Linked DNA regions of Arabidopsis thaliana. The protein of the gene in region 2 interacts with the protein of the main gene of each other region in a biochemical or structural test. Each region holds a gene or a part of one and is shown on either strand. Other genes may lie near its edges.

What was found.
Region 1: of the proteins of UBP27 (region 2) and UBQ14, one has a biochemical effect on the other in vitro, tested with the Arabidopsis thaliana proteins (one study listed by BioGRID).

Annotation. Positions count from the first base shown.
Region 1 is NC_003075.7:1,274,617-1,285,064, reverse strand, and holds UBQ14 (Ubiquitin family protein), read left to right. Parts: upstream 1-4,898; 5' UTR 4,899-5,103; exon of another isoform or gene 5,104-5,400; coding exon 5,401-6,318; 3' UTR 6,319-6,535; downstream 6,536-10,448. Other genes in the region: AT4G02900 (ERD (early-responsive to dehydration stress) family protein), read right to left, coding at 132-267, 457-606, 686-999; AT4G02880 (ELKS/Rab6-interacting/CAST family protein), read right to left, coding at 7,152-7,431, 7,677-7,723, 7,812-7,991, 8,151-8,267, 8,355-8,528, 8,662-9,323, 9,427-9,589, 9,887-9,934. UniProt on the Arabidopsis thaliana protein: Ubiquitin exists either covalently attached to another protein, or free (unanchored).
Region 2 is NC_003075.7:18,299,992-18,311,415, reverse strand, and holds UBP27 (ubiquitin-specific protease 27), read right to left. Parts: upstream 5,282-11,424; 5' UTR 5,025-5,281; coding exon 4,755-5,024; intron 4,673-4,754; coding exon 4,546-4,672; intron 4,471-4,545; coding exon 4,370-4,470; intron 4,283-4,369; coding exon 4,043-4,282; intron 3,948-4,042; coding exon 3,876-3,947; coding exon of another isoform or gene 3,862-3,875; intron 3,761-3,861; coding exon 3,632-3,760; exon of another isoform or gene 3,532-3,631; coding exon 3,361-3,531; intron 3,281-3,360; coding exon 3,221-3,280; intron 3,139-3,220; coding exon 2,791-3,138; 3' UTR 2,661-2,790; downstream 1-2,660. Other genes in the region: AT4G39380 (TSL-kinase interacting-like protein), read left to right, coding at 1-34, 125-357, 432-612, 709-1,266, 1,342-1,506, 1,645-1,788; AT4G39360 (uncharacterized protein), read right to left, coding at 7,981-8,385; CESA2 (cellulose synthase A2), read right to left, coding at 9,526-10,110, 10,195-10,545, 10,628-10,824, 10,907-11,177, 11,269-11,424. UniProt on the Arabidopsis thaliana protein: Recognizes and hydrolyzes the peptide bond at the C-terminal Gly of ubiquitin. Involved in the processing of poly-ubiquitin precursors as well as that of ubiquitinated proteins.

The DNA.
Region 1 (10,448 bases), about 17 Mb from region 2:
TTTCCTTAAAGCATACATACATAGAGGCATCACTCCCAAATATATTATGTTTGCAAGATCTTTGTTCAAGGAAAAGAGAAGTAAGTTTCTACATATCGGTAAAGATAAACACAACAGATAGAATAACTCACAGTGAGTTGATCAGGACGACGACTTTCTGCTGCTAGATGTCTCAATCTCATATTAGCCACAGCCTTATATTCCATATATAATATGTAGCAAGTCCAGAATGTAATCACGTATGTCATAGTTATATGTGCCCAAAACCTGGAACCAAGAAACTTCCAGCCGTCTTAGTTGATAAAATAGAAAGCTGCACAATACCATCACACACTTTGTAAAAAAGAAACCCTTTTTATTGACAGAGTCTGTAACTTGCAGATAACAACAGTCCACCAAACTTAGCAAGGTGCTAACATATACCCTGAACTGAGAGAAAGCAGTAGTGAATAATACCTCGGCGATCCTGGTGGAACATTTGATATTGACAGCTTATCGACGTTACTGAATGTCAAGTCATCGATATTTTCTAGAGTTTCTCCAGTCCAATTGACAGGAACCAAAACTCCAAAAGCAAGTAGTGTTATCGGAACGAACATTTTCAATCTGAAAAACCAACAGAACAACCTAAGAAACAAGCTTGTGCCTCATGAGAATGAATTCAAGATCAGAAGAAGATACATACCCAAGAAGGTAAATGCGGATATATACAGCAGAGTCAAGGCCTGCATGTTCTATAAGCTCAGGTTCAGGCATTTGAAGAGCAGCAGGCATCCAATTAAGAAACTTGACATAAGTAGTCCAATCTAAATTAACAAATCTAGTCATGATTCCTCTAGAACGCGTTGGACTTCCTCTTATCCCTTTGAGATACCATTTTGGGAAGTAAACTCTATCGTTAACTGGCTGAAGTCTAAGCATAGCAAATGCAAACAAGAAAGCAAATGCAGATAATAGATTTATAGCTGCTGATAGACCAATATCTTGTACTGAAGCCATCTTCTTCTCTTTAACAACGCAATTTCAACCAAAAATGTTCAACAAATCCTGTTAAAGAGATCACCAAAAAGTACAAAATTTTATTCAAAAGAAGATGAAATCTCAGGTTTTTTCAGTGTCTGAGTTACCAGAGATTGGAGGAGGCGATTTGTTTTTTTGTTTTTTCTCTGACAGTTTCCCGAGAAAATCGAATTGGCGATTGACTGTGAGAAACTGAAATTCCGGGAAAAGAGGAGAAGACGAGAGAAAATGGCGCCATTGACGTTGTTCTTCTTCTCCAACGACATTTCATCTTCTTCCTCCGATTCTCCGATTTTTTCTGCTTCTCGTTCGAATTTTGTTTTTGATTTTCTGTAATTAAAATTTTGGAGAACATATCTCACGTGCCTTACTCGTGTGAGTGAATGTTGCGAAAATGCAAATGAATCCTGAATTAAAAAGTTAGTACATATACACTAATATCTAAGTTGGTAACATTGTAACATTGAAAAGAATATATGTATATACAATTTAGATTGATTTAATTAGTAAATAAATTTGAGGCTTTTTAACTTGGTTGAAATGAATACATCTATTAAATTTAACCGCTTTTGATTTACCATTTATAAATTAAAGTCCGTAGTAGTACTGACCAAAAAAAATAAAAGAAAATTACTACGAACCAATAATTGACCACTTTTACATTAAAAATTTGATTTGTTCTCAAAAATAGAACGGAGTAAACCGTTGACGGATTGTCCACCCGCCGACTCGTAATTATTCGAATCTTCGAAATCGAAAATAAAATAATTATATAGCAAATACAACTATTAAAAAAGTGTAGGTATAGAAAATAATTACTGGAAATATTATATTGATGATATCAGTTTCAGGACTTTATTTATGTTGGATTTGAATTGCAATTTAGGAGGTGTTATTGGTTTGTGATGCCTTTTAAAACTTTAGAATTATATACTATCAATTTGTGTTAAGATTTATTTTGAAAAATACTTTATAGATTTTCAAAAAACAATTCTCATGGATTTAAAGAAAAAATGCATTAGAAATATATATTTACTAGATATTAACCCACAGTATACCGCGGGCCAATATTTTTATTAAATAAAAAATAATTGAATATTTTTTAGGATGATTTAATAAATTTATGCTATTGTTTGATTTAAATGTATAATTCACCGCGTGACGAAATTTTATAACTCAAATTTTAAAGTTTAAAGTTGTATTTGTTTATTTTGTTAAATGTTTAATATTGTATAATTGTATTTTGATTGTTGTTTATCAGATTTCACCCGTAGTACACCATCCCATATTAATATCGAATCAAACCCGTCAATTCTAAGATTTCACCCGTGATAGTATTTAATTGTATAATTGTATTTTAATTGTCATTCTAGGATTTCACTCCTAATTCTATCGCAAATTATTATCAACCCAAACCAGTCAATTCTAAAATATCACTCGTAGTACACCATCCCATATTAATATCGAATCAAGCCCGTCAATTCTAGGATTTCACCCGTGGTAGTATTTAATTGTATAATTATATTTTAATTGTCATTTTAGGATTTCACTCCTAATTCTATCGCAAATTATTATCAACCCAAACCAATCAATTCTAAAATATCACCCGCAGTACACCATCCCATATTAATATCGATTCAAACTCGTCAATTCTAGGATTTCACTCGTGGTAATATTTAATTGTATAACTATATTTTGATTGTCATTCTAGGATTTAACTCCTAGTTCTATCGCAAATTCTTATCAACCCAAACAGTCAATTCTAAAATTTCACCCGTAGTATAAAGTTTAAATATTTATAATGTTTAAATTTCTTATAAAAGAATCAAAATGTGTTTTAAAAAAATTAAAGTTTTAAGTTTTTTTTTTATAATATTGTTAATTTTTTTTAGTGTTTAAGATTATATAATTATATTATGATTGTTATTATATGTTTTTTCTATAGCATACTATCCCATGTTATTATCCACTCAAACCCGTCACACCATATAACCCCGTCCCGTGAAATTAAACACAAATTTGTCATTTTATTATAAATTTCAAATATTTATAAAATTAGAAACTTCAAAAAAAGATTAATATTGACCCAAACTTCATCATTTAATTTTGAGTGTTATATCTAAGATTTCTCTCGCAGTATATCGTCCCGTATTAATATCTTTTATATTGTTTAAATTTCTTGTAAAATTTAATTTATAATTTTTTAAACTTTTTAAAGTTTCAATTTTTTAAAATAAATAACCCTAGTAAACAAACCATTTAAATTTTGGACACCTCATAAATCAAGTTTCATGCTCATTCGTAATCGAAATCATTTTGGTCCTTTTTATAGTATGGCTCTTGACCATTGTCCAATTTTTTTAAGCGATGTTGGACATTGTAAAATCGTAATTATTATCCACCCAAACCCGTCCTACCATATAACCTAGTCCCGTGAAATTAAACATAATTTTGTCATTTTCTTATAAATTTCAATATTATAAAATTTGAAACTTCAAAAAATACAATATCGACCCAAAATTCATCATTGAATTTTGACTGTTATATTTAAGATTTTTCCTATAATATATCGTCTCGTATTAATATATTTTTTATATATTTATAATATTTAAATTTCTTGTAAAATTTAATTTATAATTTTTAAAACGTTATAAGTTTTAAAATTATAAATATTTAAAGCATTTTTTAAAGATAAACTTTATAAAAAAAATTTAAATTATAATATTTAACTTTTGATAAAAGTTATAATATTTATAATTTCTTGAAACATTTTAAAGTTTCAATTCTTTAAAATAAAAAATCCGAGTAAAATCGGATAACTATTTTAATTTTGGACGCCTGATAAATCAAGCTTCCTGCTCATTCGTAATTAGAATCATTTTGGTCCTTTTATAATATGGGTCTGAACCATTGTGCAATTTTTTTAAGCGATGTGGGACATTGTACACATATTATTTCTTTATAGGTTGAATAATATATGTCCATTTTAAAAAATTTGAATTACATCATATTCAGAAGAAATTATAATATTTTATTAACTATATATATTTTATATAAAGTCAAAATAAATAAAGTATAAGATCAAATAAAAATGAAAGAAGAATTATATATTTATGTTTAAATTAGGTAAAAATATTTTAGGAAATTAGTTAAGGTAAATAAGAAATATGGTTAGTTTAGAGATATTGTTTATATTAAATTTGGTAATTAAATCCTTAATTTTCGTTTTTAATTATTAGTTTTTAGGTAACTTTTCCAAAAATTAATGTTATCCAAGATCAGAACAGAATTAAACATGTTATCCAGGATCCGAACAGAGTTAAACCGGGTAAAACCCACCCATTTGAATTAATTGTTGAATTATGGCTCAAATTTTCAATATTATCTTCAAAAACCTCCTACAAAAATGTATATATAGATTTATTTATTGTTAAGATTTTTTAAATAAATCATGGATTTTGCATTAATGATTTAAAAAAATTCTCATTTTTTTTTATACTCAACAATTTGTTCCAAAAACAATAAAACAGAGATATCCTCAAATCATGTTCACATTTAAAGTGAATTAAACAATTGTATTAATGCTTCTATTCTGGCCAAAACAACGAAAGCATTATATTTCAAAATCTCAAATTTATAATCTGCTGATCTTTAATTAAAACCTTATTAAGTGCCATGGGTAACGGTTCAATATGATCCTATCGGATCAAACCGGGTTACATATATTATTGAACCCGGTTTTATTGGTACGATCGTTAAGTCTCAACATCTGGCTCTAATAACCGGGACGATAGAGATTGTGGTTAGAAATAAACGGCGTTAAAATTGGTTGCAGCCGCGGGCACACGGATCGTGTTTATCAAATAAGGCAATTAGCCAAAAAATCGTTTCGTGTAAAAGTTACGTGTCAAGCTTTGGTTGGTTATTGCTTCACCGCCTTAGCTTTCTCGTGACCGACTCGTCCTCGTCTTTTTTTCTTCTTCTATAAATTAATAACCTAAGACCTATTCTTCTTCACAAATTCAGATTCCAAATTTCTCAAACTCTGAAATCGTTCTTTCAAATCTCTCAATCGGGATCAAGGTAAATTTCTGGGTTCTTATTCAGTTTCTTCGATTATTTTCCATTCGATCGCAATTTCGTCCCTGTTCTTTGAGTTTGATTCGGTTAATCTTTGATCGGAGATAAATATCTGAGTTTCATCGCTAGATCTCATCTATATTCTGAACTAGGGTTCGTAGATTTCACAGATTTGTATATTTAGGCGTCGATTCTTTGAATTTGATCCGATATGTGATTTATATTCAGATCTGGTGGTAGCTTTTTTAATCGGATTTGAGATTATCCAAGCGATTAATCTCAGTTTTTTGTGAATTACAGATGCAGATCTTTGTTAAGACTCTCACCGGAAAGACTATCACCCTCGAGGTGGAAAGCTCTGACACCATCGACAACGTTAAGGCCAAGATCCAGGATAAGGAAGGCATTCCTCCGGATCAGCAGAGGCTTATTTTCGCCGGAAAACAGCTAGAGGATGGCCGTACGTTGGCTGATTACAATATCCAGAAGGAATCCACCCTCCACTTGGTTCTCAGGCTCCGTGGTGGTATGCAGATTTTCGTCAAGACCTTAACGGGAAAGACGATTACTCTTGAGGTGGAGAGTTCTGACACCATCGACAACGTCAAGGCCAAGATCCAAGACAAGGAGGGTATTCCTCCGGACCAGCAGAGGTTGATCTTCGCTGGAAAGCAGTTGGAGGATGGCAGAACTCTTGCTGACTACAACATCCAGAAGGAGTCCACACTTCATCTTGTTCTCAGGCTCCGTGGTGGTATGCAGATCTTTGTCAAGACGTTGACTGGAAAGACTATCACTTTGGAGGTGGAGAGCTCTGACACTATCGACAATGTCAAAGCCAAGATCCAGGACAAAGAGGGTATCCCACCGGACCAGCAGAGATTGATCTTCGCCGGAAAACAACTTGAAGATGGTAGAACTTTGGCTGACTACAACATTCAGAAGGAGTCTACACTTCACTTGGTGTTGCGTCTCCGTGGAGGTATGCAGATTTTCGTGAAGACTCTCACTGGAAAGACCATTACTCTTGAAGTTGAGAGCTCCGACACCATTGACAACGTGAAGGCTAAGATCCAGGACAAGGAAGGTATCCCTCCGGACCAGCAGCGTCTCATCTTCGCTGGAAAACAGCTTGAGGATGGTCGTACTTTGGCCGACTACAACATCCAGAAGGAGTCTACCCTTCACTTGGTGCTAAGGCTCCGTGGTGGTTTCTAAAAACTTATCTCTGTTATGAATCAGAAGAAGTTCATGTCTCGTTTCATTTAAAACTTTGGTGGTTTGTGTTTTGGGGCCTTGTAAAGCCCCTGATGAATAATTGTTCAACTATGTTTCCGTTCCTGTGTTATACCTTTCTTTCTAATGAGTAATGACATCAAACTTCTTCTGTATTGGAATTATGTCCTTGTGAGTCTCTTTATCATCGTTTCGTCTTTACATTATATGTGCTACTTTTGTCTAATGAGCCTGAAAAGTGGCTCCAATGGTACGCACTGGAAGATTTGTTGGCTTCTGGTAGATATAGCGACAGTGTTGAGCTTGTAATATCATGTCTCTTATTGCTAAATTAGTTCCTTTCTTAACAGAAACCTTCAAAGTTTTTGTTTTTGTTTTCATTTACCTAATGTACACATACGCTGGCCATGACTAACAACATGTCCAGGCTTAGAGCATATTTTTTTCTAGCTTAAATTGTTAACTTGTCATTCAGTAAAATCCGAGAATTGTGAAGCTCTAATTGAAGCTAATTCGTTTTATAAAGTCAGTTAAAAAGTATACTAAATTATCCAACTTTTCTTCAAAATCTCAAAATTCTATGACAAAACGATAGTCTTTGTTTATGTCAGTACCACAAAGAGGTGGAAAAAAACACCAAAAAAACAATAAGCAAACTATACACTGAGAAGAAAAATAAAAGAGAGCTCAATAGATGTTTTATACTAACGGTAGATTAGATCAAAGATCCAAGCTTTACTCTACATAGAGCAGAACCCAGAATCCCTTCATATCTCTTTTATTCTAGCACCGATAATCTACTGAAAAGAAGACACTTAGAGCTCTGTCTCTTTGTCAAAGAAGTCCCAGCCGTCATCCAGAAGCTCCTTACGTTCATTAACAGAAGCTTTTGGGCTCTTGTTATTGCTCGAGGCTTCAGGTGTTTCATAAGATGCTTCCAAAGGCTTCTCCGTCAATAAGCTCTTCATGGATGAGGCGGAAGAAGCCAGTTTACAGCTAGTCTGGCTTGAGGAGATTGATTGGCTCAATGGCACTCGGTTGTCGAATTTCTCTTTCAAGTGTCGGATGTCTTGACAGATCACAGAGATTTCTCCTCTGTTCAAGGAAGTACCAAAAGGGTAAAAGAATAGTTAAGATCAATAGCAGACAAGATTCACCATAAGATTCTGAACATTTAAACAACAAATATATCAACAGATTCCTGATTATCATACAACTGCGAAGAAAATTGCTAAATTGGTTCGTGGGTCCGATCATTTACTCCATAGTTCACAGCCTCTTATCCTAATGATTCACGAGGAGATAAATTTGAATTGCTAGTAGCAAGGAAGAAGACTTACTGTAAGGAATCAACAATTCGACCATGATCCATAAGGAACTCTCGCAGCTGAAGAAAGAGATCAAGATAAGTTAAGAAGTTGTGAAATCAGATTCAGAACCATTCATTCATGACAATCTCAAGGTAGTGTTGTTACCTTGGAGTTTTCCTCTGCCTCCTGCTGTAGAAGCTTGGATTCTTGGACAACTCTCTCCATGATCGCTTCTTGTTCAGCAAATGCCTTGCGTGCAGACCCTTCTTTTTCCTGTTTTTCTTGCTCAGCAGCATTTTTTATCCCCAAAGCTGTCGCTAGTCTTATTTCAAGATCTACACGCATCTAAAAGTAAAAACAAAAGAAACACAATCAGCAAAATCTTACAGTGTGAAAAAACAGATATTAGTAGCGTGTATTGTTAACGATTAATGGAGTTGCAAATGAACAAAACAGAAATACTGAGTAAATCAAGTAGGATCTAATCGTGTGGCCTGCACGGACCTCATCAAGAACAGAGAGAGAGTTGTCTCGTTCTTCTGATAAGCTGATCAAGCGATTTTCAAGCTCATTAACTTCAGTGGTCAAAATTGACCTCTCCCCATAAACTTCTCCAGCAGCCTGTAACATACAAATGATTAGTTCCCCAATTAAAACCTAAGCACAGTTAACACACGTATCAGTAAAATATTAGTAACAAAAAGTCACCATGTCATTTGCCTCCTTCGCATGTTCCAGCATCTTCTTCAGCTCCTCCACCTTGTCAAGAGTATCAAAGCCTCCTATACTAGCATCTTCCTTTGCCTTTTCTGCCTCCTTCTCTTGAAGTTCAACTTCTCTCATCAGATTCATAATCGACTCCATCACAGTGAACAAGGTTCTCTACATCATCACAAAATATAAAGAAGAAAATGATACTGAGATATCGATAAAGAAACCCTCCTATCGAACACATAACCCCAAAATTAATTATTTCCTGGAAATGAAAGAATGTCCAAAATATACACTGGCATACCTTGTTACTTTTGGCATCTTCAATGATCTGTTCAAGGTGGACCATGTTGCATCCCTGGGTTGATCTGTTACCAACAGAGCTAACAGCACCATCCAGCTCTGGATCACCATTTTCATCGGCCAAAGAGCCCTTTGATATCTCATCCACAAGATTTGAACCACTCAACTCGGCATCACTATTTTCAACAGCCAACGAACCACTTGATGTCTCGTTCACAACATCGATACTCCCAAATCTAATTTGAAGAGGATGTGAGTTCTGTGTAATTGCCAAATTGTCTGCAGGATAAACCAGCTTATGCACAGCATCTTCTGAATCTGCGCTTGTGCTAGCTTCTGCTTGATTACCTGTACTGTGAAACTCAACACCTTGCCAATCATCGCCAGTCGATTTGGCTCCTGCCTGACAGGAGACAGGGGGTTCTGAGGAAACCACTCCAGACTCATCCGATCCGCTCAACCCGATCTTACCTTTTCTCTGAATATCAACAACAACATTTGGCATAACATGTGTCAACTGATTCCTCTTAGAAACCGATTCAGTAACTGGGGCCCTTGTTTCATGATATTCAAAAGCCATAGAGGCAGATCCTGAATATGAACCACCCATCTCTGAACCAGACAACACACTGAATGGCATATCACGTTCTACTGCATTTTCAACTGGCATTTCATCAGAACATACCCTCAAACTTCAAATGTACAAAAAAAATGTCCTAGTAGCAGAACAGAAAAATATAATATTATCATTGCAAAGAATAAGTACCTTCGGTAGGCACATTTCCGGGTGTCTTGTTCTCAGGTTGAGTAGAACTATCAGCCAAATTAGGGTAAAAGAAAGGAACAATCTCTGAAACAACTACAGCTGCAGCTTCATTAACATCCTTTGGGTGCTCAATAGCAACAGCTTTTAAAAGCCTTGCATCAATCTGTAGAAAATTTTATTGTATAGATTTAATAACAATATAAGTTGGTTCCAAAACAGGCTAAACAGCAACTGGAGTGTGAGACTACACTGGAATGTGAGATTACATAATCAATCATCGCATTTCATAGAGGAAAATTTATACTAAAACCTCAGAAACATATCGACACAAGCATCTCGTAAAATCTACCATTACTCAACAGAAAACTAGCGTCTTACTCAAGTTTATGAAACCCTTAGTTTTGTGAAAATGTCAGCTACAAGTCAAGTTTAGTGAAAACAGATAAAGATATGAGCTTACCTGTGGAAACAATTCCGTGAGAGATCGGTAAACTGCTTTGTAACCCATCAGTGAAAAATTCAATTAAATCTGCAAGAAAGCAAAAACAAACGATTATTACTGGGTTAAAATGGTGCAAGAGCTATTGGGTTGATTCAAGTAATCCCAAAAGACAATAACTTCACTGAAAAGTATCATCTAATTAGTAAAATCAACAAATAAGAAGTTACATCATATTTATGTAAAACCCTAGAAAATTGCTTGGAGACACTACAGAATATGGCTGCATCAAACTTTCAAATACGCGAAAGGCAGAAACTTTATGCGTTTAAAGTTCACAACACACACTAAAACCCTAATTTCGATCCAGAGATACAATACGGTGGAATCAAAAGAAAGCAACTTAATTAGAGAAGTGAAACACGACCTGATCATAGGATATATAAATCTCCTCGTCAAAATTAACAATAGAGACACACAAGAACAAACAAACAAAAAAACAGGTTTTTGAAGAAGATGATCAAATTCACCTCGAAGTTCTCGGTGGGTTTTTCAAAATCTTCAGAATTGGATCAGACGAACC
Region 2 (11,424 bases):
TTTGGATGCTCATACCCGTGAAGGATTGGAAAAGGTAGAGCTGAAGATCTGACCACAAGACTTGCACTAAGTTTATATATATTCTGGTGAAGAGTTCTATTTATTATTTTATGTTACTTCATAGGACGGCTTTCACCCATACTTGGAGCTCACTCTTAGCTCACGGAAGAAGATTTCTTCAGTGCTTCAACGCATTCACAGTAAGTGGGGCAGCTCAGAGATTGCTCGTGGAGATCCCACGTTGTACCCTTATGATACATCGGTACTTGCTTCTGGTCATAAATGGGTAGCAAACAGCAACATCACTACAGGCAATGTCTATGAAGCTATTGGAGCTCCATTTATTTTCCGCTTACGGTTTGTATCTATACACCTTTTGAAGCAAATTTCTAAGCGTAGACACGTTTGACGATTCTTGTTACTTCGTTTAGGTATGGGTGGTCCTCTGCGACTGAAAATAAAACCAATGAACCGCCATCTCCTTCAACTCCAGGTACAGGAACGCAGATGTTAGGTTCAGAGAACCCATTGACTATGCTGTCCTCTCCAAATCAAGTGACTGACACACCTCCCTTGGAAAACTTACCGCATGATGGACAAGTTGAGTCAACGGTATGCTCAGTAAATAATGTTTTCTTTTTCTCTTGTTTTGGATTCAAATCTTATATCACAGTATACCTGAGATCATGACTACTTTTGTTTATATAGGAGAATAAGATAAACGATGGATCTGGCCCGACATTGCTTTTTTGGGATGATGGATTAACAAGCCTAAGTATTGGTGGCTTGCTTTCAGAAGTATCATTGAAGGGAAACTTTGGAAATCATTGTAAAAATTCAAACGCAGGGAATGCAAATGCAACTCTCTGGGAAGACAATCTTACTAACATAAGCATTGGAGGTCTATTTTCTGAGGCTTCTTTACAAGACAGATGGCATATGAACAATGAACGAGAACCAGCTCATAATGGTCAGTCTATTGGAAGTATAGGAGGCTTACTATCTGAAGCATCAATTCTAGGAGAAGGAAGGATTAGTGACTGTAACAAAACATGGGAAACAAGGAGAGCTATCAAACAACCACCATTACCTCTAATCTCTGATTCATTAGATGCTTTCCTCGTGAACCAAACAGATAACCGTCGAGCTCCTTGCCATGCCCCTCTTCCTGAGTCGTCACATTCGTCTATACTCGATGCAGAAGATACGTGCCATGCATTTTCATTTCGAAAGCGTACCACAATAACACCAAAGGTTCACGATCAGGTTAAATGTTTCTCAAGTTATGCTGCGTGTTTATTTTATTTTATCACTAAACATTTCCGATATTGCTATTGTCAGAAGTTTAGAACTTGCAACTCATGGTTATGGGATATGAAAATTTGGCAGGTAAGTGGAGAAGTTGAGAAGGAGAAACAGATTGATGAATCGAACCCCGCAAAACCATTATTGGGTTCCTCGGTGTTTAATCAAGACAGCAGCCTCGGATTATCAGGAATCAAGTGGGTAAGTGAGAGTTCTTCTAACTGTGTGGTCTCTGCTTCACATTTCTCTAAGACTATATATTTGCTGTAACAAAATACACGAGTTGGGCAAATAAGTTGAGATATGTTTTACCATTTGGATTTGAATCTGACAACGCAGGCTGAATCACGGGGACCATTTGATTTCGGCTTATCTTCATCGCGAAAGTTTGCTAATGGAGACAGCGTAAGCTTTGGTGCTGTAGTAAAAGATTTGCAGGAAATGGAGCCTTTAGAAAAGAAAATAAAGCTTCAAAAGCATTGAAACTCATGAACAATAATCATTCCACAGGTAAGTACGACTAATCAATACTACTAAAGATAACAAAGTCTAAAAAATATCTGGAATCCTTTTCTTACAACTCCTTTATTGATATCATTATATCTTACAATAAATTCAACTAATTGTCACACAAACACTTTCTGCGTGTTTTTATTGACAGGAAAGGTAAATACTAAGCATGTGTCTAGAACCTGAAGATCATTTTGACAAATCATCAGAAGGTAACTACAGTGAAGTACAGGTCTGAACAAATCATCAGTGTGTAAATATGCTCTTTGATCTTCTTCACCTTCTGTCTCTGTTTACTGCCCCTTCCCAACCTTTGAATCTTTCATGAAGCAACCCTTTTTCCATGCATGTGTGTGCTCTGCAATCATATGTTAGAGCATTTGTATATAACATACCTCTAAAAACATCAATCCACAGTTGAGTATTTGTAAAAACATCTTTTACCAACTTTTATTGTAGGCTATTCCACTTTCCATCGTATATATTTTTAACTCATTTGATAATTTAAACCCAAAGAACAACATAAGCGGATTCTAATTGTGTGGATATGAAAGAGATTAGATGGGGGTTTCTTCCTATAGTATCGAGGCAAACAAACTCAACTGTATTGGAGTAAAAGTAGATAGGATGGATAATAGATAGAAATTTCGGTTCGGTTTGGTTTAAAGAAAAAAAGACCCATCAATTTACATCGGTTTGGCGGAGATATAATTGAAACTGATTCTAATGAGCGCGCCACATTATATCGACTTATCGAGGAAGCTTAAGGACTGTTTGGATTTACTTATAACACAATCCTGGAACTAAAAGAGTGTTTGGTTACAAGGTTATTTTAGTAGTGTTTGGCTATAGGCGAAAATATATTCAAAAACAACTCCACTCACGTATCTTCTAATTTCTCCAAGTGCAGAAAAGAAACCTTAGAACACTCGATCAATCCAATGAAAACCAAGCTCTAAATTAATTTCTCTTTTATCAAAGCCTTTCATAGAAGAGCAAGCTAGCTTCAGCACCAAGAACATCACTCTCTGAAACTCTGCAAACTTCTGAATCAGATATACTAAACCAGCTCAAATCCTCATCACAATCTTCTTCTTCTTCCTCTTGTGAGAACACTCTCACACTTCTGTATACAGTATAATGCCCGCTTCCGGTTCTACCAAAATGCTCCACTACTGTTACAAGCCTGTACATGCCGTGATTTTTTGATGCTTCTGGCTTTTGGTACTCTGACGACATCTCAATCCTTTCTTCTATGTTTACGCCTATTGAAGATGGTGTGAACAAGGAGAGGTTCAAGACAAGTGGAAATGCGATATGTCCCTATACAGATGAACTGAGATTAGAAGGAATAGAACTCGAGACATGAAATGTAGACAGGAAAGAGAGATAACAAGACTCATACCGACAGTTTGAATTCCTCAAACATGTTAAACGAAGCGCGTTGCACTTGAATGCATAGGAGCTGTAACAATTTAGCTAGACAGGGTCAAAATGGGACTCAAAAGAAAAGAGATTTTGATATTGTAATGGATTCAACTTTACTTTCACGTCTAGTTTCAATGAGTAAGCAAATACCTTTGGGAAACGGGCGATGATTAACTGTTTCAATATATGGGAATAGCTATTTGACCAAGGCATTCTTTGAAGATGAAGAGAAGTTTTACAGTCACATTGGTCCTCTCCGCCACAGCTCCTGAGCTTTTCGATTTCCGTCTGATTGAAACCGTTTCCAGGACACACGGGTCAAATAGAGTCGCGAAGCATGTACAAAGGAAAAGTACAATAACATTAAAAGCTGAGAGAGATTAACTACCTCAGCTGCTCCTATCACAGATAAATATTTCAGTGCAGCACCATGCCAGCATCTATAGCAGAAGTAGTTTTCAACTTTCTCAGTGTTAAGAAACTTCTTCAAGCAATGCTCCAAAGTGCATCCAGACATCTAAGAGCATTCCAAAAGGAAAAATATATTGAGAATTCTTATATTTCTGGAGAAGTTTCATATTGCCAAAAGCAAAACAATATAGCAACAAGAGAATGAACCTTCCGTAACATACAATGTTGTAACCACCGTGATGGAGTAAAGGAGAAAGAGGCAGAGTATGAAAAAACTGAAACTCCAAAGAAATCTGGAAAAAAGCAAAAAATATCACATGGGGAAAAAGTATTTAACTATAGCAAGAGCCACTTTTTACTGGTGAGATTGAGAAATCTAATCCCTTACCTGAGATGAACAAGTTCGGCACATTAAAGTACTACCAAGAATCCCATCAAATGGTCCACGCAAATGTTTATGCCATCTCTTGAGCTCCATCAAACCATGGAGGCCTTCACTAGGCGCAAGCATTCTCAAGTTGCGAGAGAAAAGTATATCCGAAAGATTACTACTTTGGCTAGGGCGATAACAAACTACAATCTCTTCTTGCAAAGAAGATATAAGATGAAGAAGGGCTTCTGCTGCATCCTATGTTTCAACAAGATCATTAGCTCATAGAAGACGACCACCAACTCAAGTATACTTTTGGTCTTATAGAAGAAATATAAATTTAACCTGTTGGCTTGTCAAATTGAAATTTTTGGCATAGTCAGTCAATGTCACCATAACTTTACGAGGGTTAGATACAGATCGTCTACTTCCAACTGTGCCGAGCTCTGATGGTAACAAGTAACAAAAGATTACTCTCATTATCATAAACCAACTTTCAACACAAGATACTACAATTATACCTTGTAATAAAGCAGACAAAGCAAAAGTAAGAGGAAGCTGTTCCTCTTGTTCTCCTGCTAACGAACCTCTCGCATCCTCTAGAACCCATTGAAGAAAACTCCTAAAATCTTTGCAGCTCGCTAGAGCCTGAAAGTCAAATCCACAATCCAAAGATTTATAACAAAAAGATCAAAAGCAAGCTCAAAGAAGAATTAATTCAAAGTATTACCTGGAGGATGACGTTGAGGAAGCAGTTATTTCCGAGATTTTGAAGGCCAGGTACGAGAAAAGAATCGTCTCCGGAGTCTTTTTCTCTACCGGAGAAGAGTTTTAAGTTGTTTAAGTTGCGGAATAGACCGTGCTGTTGGGCAAATACGAAACCAGCAACACCAAGTAGACCAGCGAAAGACAAATGCGAAACCCATTGATTAGAGATCCTAATTCTATCCGTGAGGACACAGACAATCGCTTTTGTCTCGGAGCCTCTTCTAGAAACCATGCTCAAAATGACACAGTTCAAATCGATCTCTCTCTAAGTCAATCCGTAAAGCTTGAGCATCCTAGCCTTCCGGTTTGTTCGGTGGATTTTGATTCGCCGTACAAAAATCCCGATCAATCAGACAAGGTCAGCGGCCAAAAGACCAAGCAAATTAGGTCCGGTTTAATTCGTCTGAACATTTTAATAATAACATCTTTTTAGCTTATTTGATTTGAAATTACAATTTCCTAACTATTGTAACTTGTAAACATAGAATTTCTAAATTTCGAGTATTTTTTTTTTGTATATAAGAGTGTTATTTGTTGAATGTGGATTACAGCTTTCAGAGATCATTGATTCTTTGAAGCTCAAACAAAGTTTTCAGTAATAAGCTTTCAAAGTTGATAAATAAAGGAATCACGGTATTTCATCACAAATAAAATTCATAATGAGAACAAAATTTCATCACCAATGAACAAAATTGTTTACAACAAAGAACTCTTTACAGATTGTAAATAAATCTGACAATGATTTTTACAGATTAAAGGAAATTACAGGAAACGTAAGGAACTCTTTCTCCAAAAGCCAGTAAAGCGAAGAAGCTACCACCAAGAAATTACCTGCAAATTCAACACAAAAAATAGACGATAATAATCTACTAGAAGGAATAACCTAAACAGACAAGATAATCGATAGAGTGAATAAAGATCTCAGACATCCAAGGAAGGATAAAAGCTGCATTAACTCTCAAGCCCGGCGAAAGGCGAAAGCTTTAGGCGGCCACTGCGAATGTTTTGAGAAACAAGCCTTAAGTTTATCATCATTGATCTTTCTTACAGACAAAAACATAAAAACGAGAATTAAAACATTCATCGGTTTCAGACATCCAAGGAAGGATAAAGCTGCATTAGCTCTCAAGCCTGGCGAAAGGCGAAAGCTTTAGGCGGCCACTGCGAATGTTTTGAGAAACAAGCCTTAATATAATCCTCATCAACCGAAAACTAACAGCAACAATCATCTAACTAAAACATAATTGGTCTCAGACATCCAAGGAAGGATAAAAACATCATAAGCTCTCAAGCCCGGCGAAAGGCGAAAGCCTTAGGCGGCCACTGCGAATGTTTTGAGAAACAAGCCTTCATCTTATCCTCATCGACCAATATTAAGCAATTCTACCAATTAATCAAAATCGAGATTATATGTTATTTCCCATCATATAATGATCAGCAAGAAACCAATTAAGACTGCTGACAAAGTGACAGATGGATCAAGATTTGAGGGACTTTGTTCAATCCTATTAAGCACTAAGAGAAATCAATTCTGCTAATGGGACATTGAATAACTTAGTCCCAAATCTAAAACCCTAATAGAAAACAAAACAATACAGGTTTAGATACAAAAGTTTCAGACATCCAAGGAAGGATAAAACAGCATTAACTCTCAAGCCTGGCGAAAGGCGAAAGCTCTTAGGCGGCCACTGCGAATGTTTGAAAAACAAGCCTTTGGATTTATCATCATTAACCAATAAGAAAACTCTAACCAAAGCTATAAAGACTATATTCACAAGATCTAATCAATGAAAACACAGGAACAATTGACTCGATGAATACAAAAATCGTTGAGAAGAATCGGACAGACTACTACAAAATTACAGAGGCTCCTATTATGAAGAAGTAGAGGATGCGGTCTTTATATAGTGAGAGAGAAGAGGCGTCCGATGATTAGGGTTTCGTCCTCCCTGACACGATCAACGGTGGAGATCTATTTTGTTTTTTTTGGTTCGGTGCGTCAGTAGAACAATCGAGATGTTAACAGTAAATAATGGGCTTGATTGCTTTTTAGTTCGGCCCATAATATTTGGTGTATTCTTTGGGTATCAAAACGGGCTTATAACAAAGCGCTGAGATAAATACTTACTTTGAGAGCATTTTCTTTATTAACACAACTCAAGTTAACTATAACAAACACAATAAAGATCATATTGCATATTATTTTAGATTTCATAAGATTAATTTTTTCATTTGTTAGAAATAGATGATAAAATTGTATAAATTGATGAGTTAATTTTTTTTTGCACAAAACCCTATTATTAATTTATAATCTTTTAGAGTGATTTTAGTTGTGAAATTATGAAAGTAAGATGCTACATGAAATAAATAAATAGTTATATGTAAAAAAAAGGTTATATGTAAATATGTGATAGTGATATAATTTTTAATGAGGTAACTAACTATGATAATAGTTGATGAACGTTAGGATATATTCTGTAGTAGGAAGATGTGACTTGTTATTCTTTGTTAGTTATTAATTATACTATCCTTCTAGATAATTGGTGTGAGAATCCATACAAAGATTATTGTGTACGTGCGAGTTAAACATGATATTATGTACGTATAACAAGATTATTAAACTGAAGTTTGAACAGTATGATATGTGAGAATCCATACATGATTGTAAGATTGTATGCATGCGAGTTAATTAAACTTCACCAGTTGACATTATATATAAGATCAAACTCAAAGCTTTGAGCTTGCGATTTTAATCATGTAACCGCTTTAAAAATATTTCTTTAAGAAAATATCTGCCTCTTCGCAAACTGTCCAAAATTTATCATGGTCCTGAATTTTGGTTATTATATGGAAAGGAAAAAAGTTGGCATCTATACTATAGTATCAACATTGAACACAATTGTTGGGAAAAAAAGGGTGAACACTATAGTATCTATAACTATCGATGTAATTTCAAAATGCATTTACGTCTACCTTAATTTATAACAGGGGCATTAATGTTTAAATAAGAATGTGTGTTAAAATTATTGCAAAGCGTCAATTCTTCTAGCACCTTCTCCCGGTTCAACGCTAATAGATACTAGTACATTACTTACAAAACCATAGAAAACGATGACATATAGTATAATTACACACGCTTCTAACAAACGTCATTAAACGTTATTTAGCCATGATCCCCTTAAGACTAATTAATCTCTCGTCATCTCGTTCGTCGCTCTGTAGATGCTCTCAAGAGACCGAAACTTCTTCTTCTTATGTATGCCTGTCCTCGTCTCCATCATCGCCTTCAGAAAACTCTGTCCGTTCGTAACATTCTTGATCCTCCACACGCCGTCGTTTTGCGCCTCTTCGGCCATATGATCTCTAACCTTTGAACTAACAACATCATCTTGTATGTTCGTATTATTGCCTTCTGATCCTTTCCCGTCACACCCGTCGTAACCGGTCGAAACGCTACAGCCAGTGCCGCTGCTACAGCTCAACGTATCCTCTTCGCTCAACTGCACTAGCTGCTCCGCCGCCTCAATCTCCGTCTCCGAAAACGTAACCCCCGAGTCTTCAGAAAAACAAATCTTCTCCATTTGATTGATCATTTTCGAATATCTGATTGTCGATCGAATTTATCTTGTCTCCTTTTTGACCACTTTGATCACGTTTACGTGTATTGTTGTTGTTTTTTGTTGTATCGTTTCGTTTTGTCGTCTTTTATATAACAGAAGCAAAAAGGAAAACCCTTTAAAAGAAAATGGAAATAATGAAAAAAGGAAACTACAATGTCGGTTTTGCAAAAGGAAGATAATATGGAAAGTTAATAAACCATGCCTGATTCAATGGAACCGAGTATATTTTAATTACGATCCGGAACCGTCAAAACTATTGACCAAGTTTCAGAATCTTTGTTTTGGTTGATCCAACGACTCCTGCGACTTTGTCTGTTACTTATATGGTGGGGTTTAGTGGTTTACAAAATTTCCATTTTTTTTTGAAGAGAGAGAGATGCGTTTGACTTCAATTATACGATTTGGTGGGGTCCATGCAAAGCCATTCCGGTATCGATAAGGAATAAACACGTCTTGGGGCCCTTTTGCCGCATTCCACGTGTTCTCATCTCAATCGCATCATCATCCGCTGTGGGACATGCGGTGGCTTCGCAGCCGTTCGATCAGGTTAAGTAAAATCATTCTAAGATTACTAAATTACTATTGAAACAGTTCTTTCCAATCATATTTTTTCATGTGTGATGATCTGTGATCGAATATGAACAAAAGAAATTTCGAACAAATTTACAAATCGGTCATTTTAATTTAACATTCAAAACAAAAAGTTTTATCTACATCACATCACAATTTTGAAACAGTTATATCCGTAACACACACACACCGCAACAGACGGATTTAAATATAAATGATCGTTTAACACAAGTTTTAATTTACAAAGAAGGTGTAAAACAACACTAAAATCCATTATTAACAAAGTGTGTATATATGATCGTTATCAGTATTATACAATAACTACGGAATAACTAAAAGTACATGTAAAAAAGAAAAACAAACAATTCTATTAGTATAACCATGATAACAAAAGAATTAATTTAGGGGTAACAAAAAAGGTTTAACAAGTCGTAAAAAGTAAAAACTGCACATCTTCGTCTACAAACACACTTGCATCATCATCAACACATTTGCTTCCAAAGCTCCAACACAAACTCCTTTGCTCTTCTTTCACTGAGGATCTTAGTTTCCACAATTCAGACCACAGATCTCCAACACTGGTCCCCCTTTAGCCACAAACGGGTTAACTCTGACCCACAAGAGTGTCAAGATCGAAGCTAGAAGAATAGACCAGACCACAATAATCGTAGGCATTTTGTCTTGCTTCCCAAGCATTCCCTTGAGGAATGGGTATAAATGAACAATGACCCAAAGAGCGAAGAAAAGTCTCCCAAAGAGAGGTCCCCATGAGTCATAGCCATTGCTAATGGCATCAGAAACGCCGACAATAACTCCAATGATGTTAATGATCAGAAGTGTTGTCGGAGGAATCAACAAAGTTGTCCACTTGAAGATGTAAAGCTCAGAGAAAGCTCCATCGTCTGCTGCTTTTGAAGTGACTGTGAAATTCGTGTTAACTCCGGCTAGAACTTTGAGCAAACCTTGAAACAGAGCAAATAGATGCGAGGAGGCCCCTCCGATTACCCAAAACTGCTCGTTTCTCCACCAATCATCGATTCCGACACCTCCCCATTGCATTTCGAGGATTCCAGTTACTGCTATGGATATGAACATGAGCATGAAGAGTATACCTGCGTAGTTGCTTATCTGTCAAAGCAAAACACAAAACATTTAGAACATCTCCAAACTGAGTAATATAAACCGAAAATGCAGAGATTATCATTAAGTTACCTCAGGGACGATGAATTTTCCTGTGAGTAAACAAACCGCGGGGAGAGAACAATAGACGATCAATGGAAGTGAAGTCCAAGGATAGACGACAGAGTTGATGTAAGAGAATCTCTCCAACCATTTTAAACCACCACCATAACCATACCATATCGGACAATGTCTGCTCAAGAAAATCTCTACAGAGCCAAGAGCCCAACGTAGAACTTGATGAAGACGATCTGACAAGTTAATAGGAGCAGATCCTTTAAAAGCTGCACGCTTAGGCATACAGTACACAGATCTCCATCCATGGCAATGCATCTTGAAACCCGTCAGGATATCTTCAGTCACCGATCCATAAATCCACCCGATCTGCGTGTGATTATCAGCAAGAATGAGATCACAAGAACTTTTCTAGTTTTCAGAAGTTGAAAAACTTTGTAATGTTTTCTACCTCTTTTCCCCATTCGGTTTTATCTTCGTACCCGCAGCTAATAACTTGAATGGCTTCTCTTAACAAACATGCGGGGCTTGCGTTACGGGGAACTCCACCGTTCTGTAGAACAGCAGAGGCAACGAAAACCGGAGATTGTCCAAACTTCTTCTCCAATTTCAATTGTGTTGCTTCAGATCTCTTCTCAACATTTGACACTAACAATCAAAAGGATCTACTTAGACTTTCAACAAGACAGAAACCAAATAAGAAATGTTTTTTTTTTCCTTCTTTTTTTACCTGGGACGATAACACCTTCGTCGACATTCTCTAGCGCATGAATCTGCTTTGAAGTCTCTTTAGTGTTAGTTTTCTTATCTTTGGCTTTCGTTTTACTCTTCTTTCTCAACCCACAACACAAACAACACCATTTAGGCCAACAGTTACAGGTTTTGCCTGGTGGTTTCTTCTTCTTTGGTGCATCAAAACCATAAAGAGCCTGTCTTCTAAACACACAACCTGTCCCGACATATATCGGTCCTTGTATCCCATCAAGACCTTTCATGTTAATCTGTTTCCACACCAAAACAATATCAAATGAGAAAAGAGGAAAAGCACTAAAACATAAACAGAAACAAAGCAAAAGAGATAAGGACACATACATCAAAGAACACAACGTTACGGTTTGAGTATCTATCATGTCTATCAATCCCATCAAATCTCTGCGGAAACTGAACATAACAAACTTTCTTTCCCGATTGCGGGTCCATCATGAAACACATAGATTCTCTAATTGCTTTGCTGTTGTTGATGTAGTG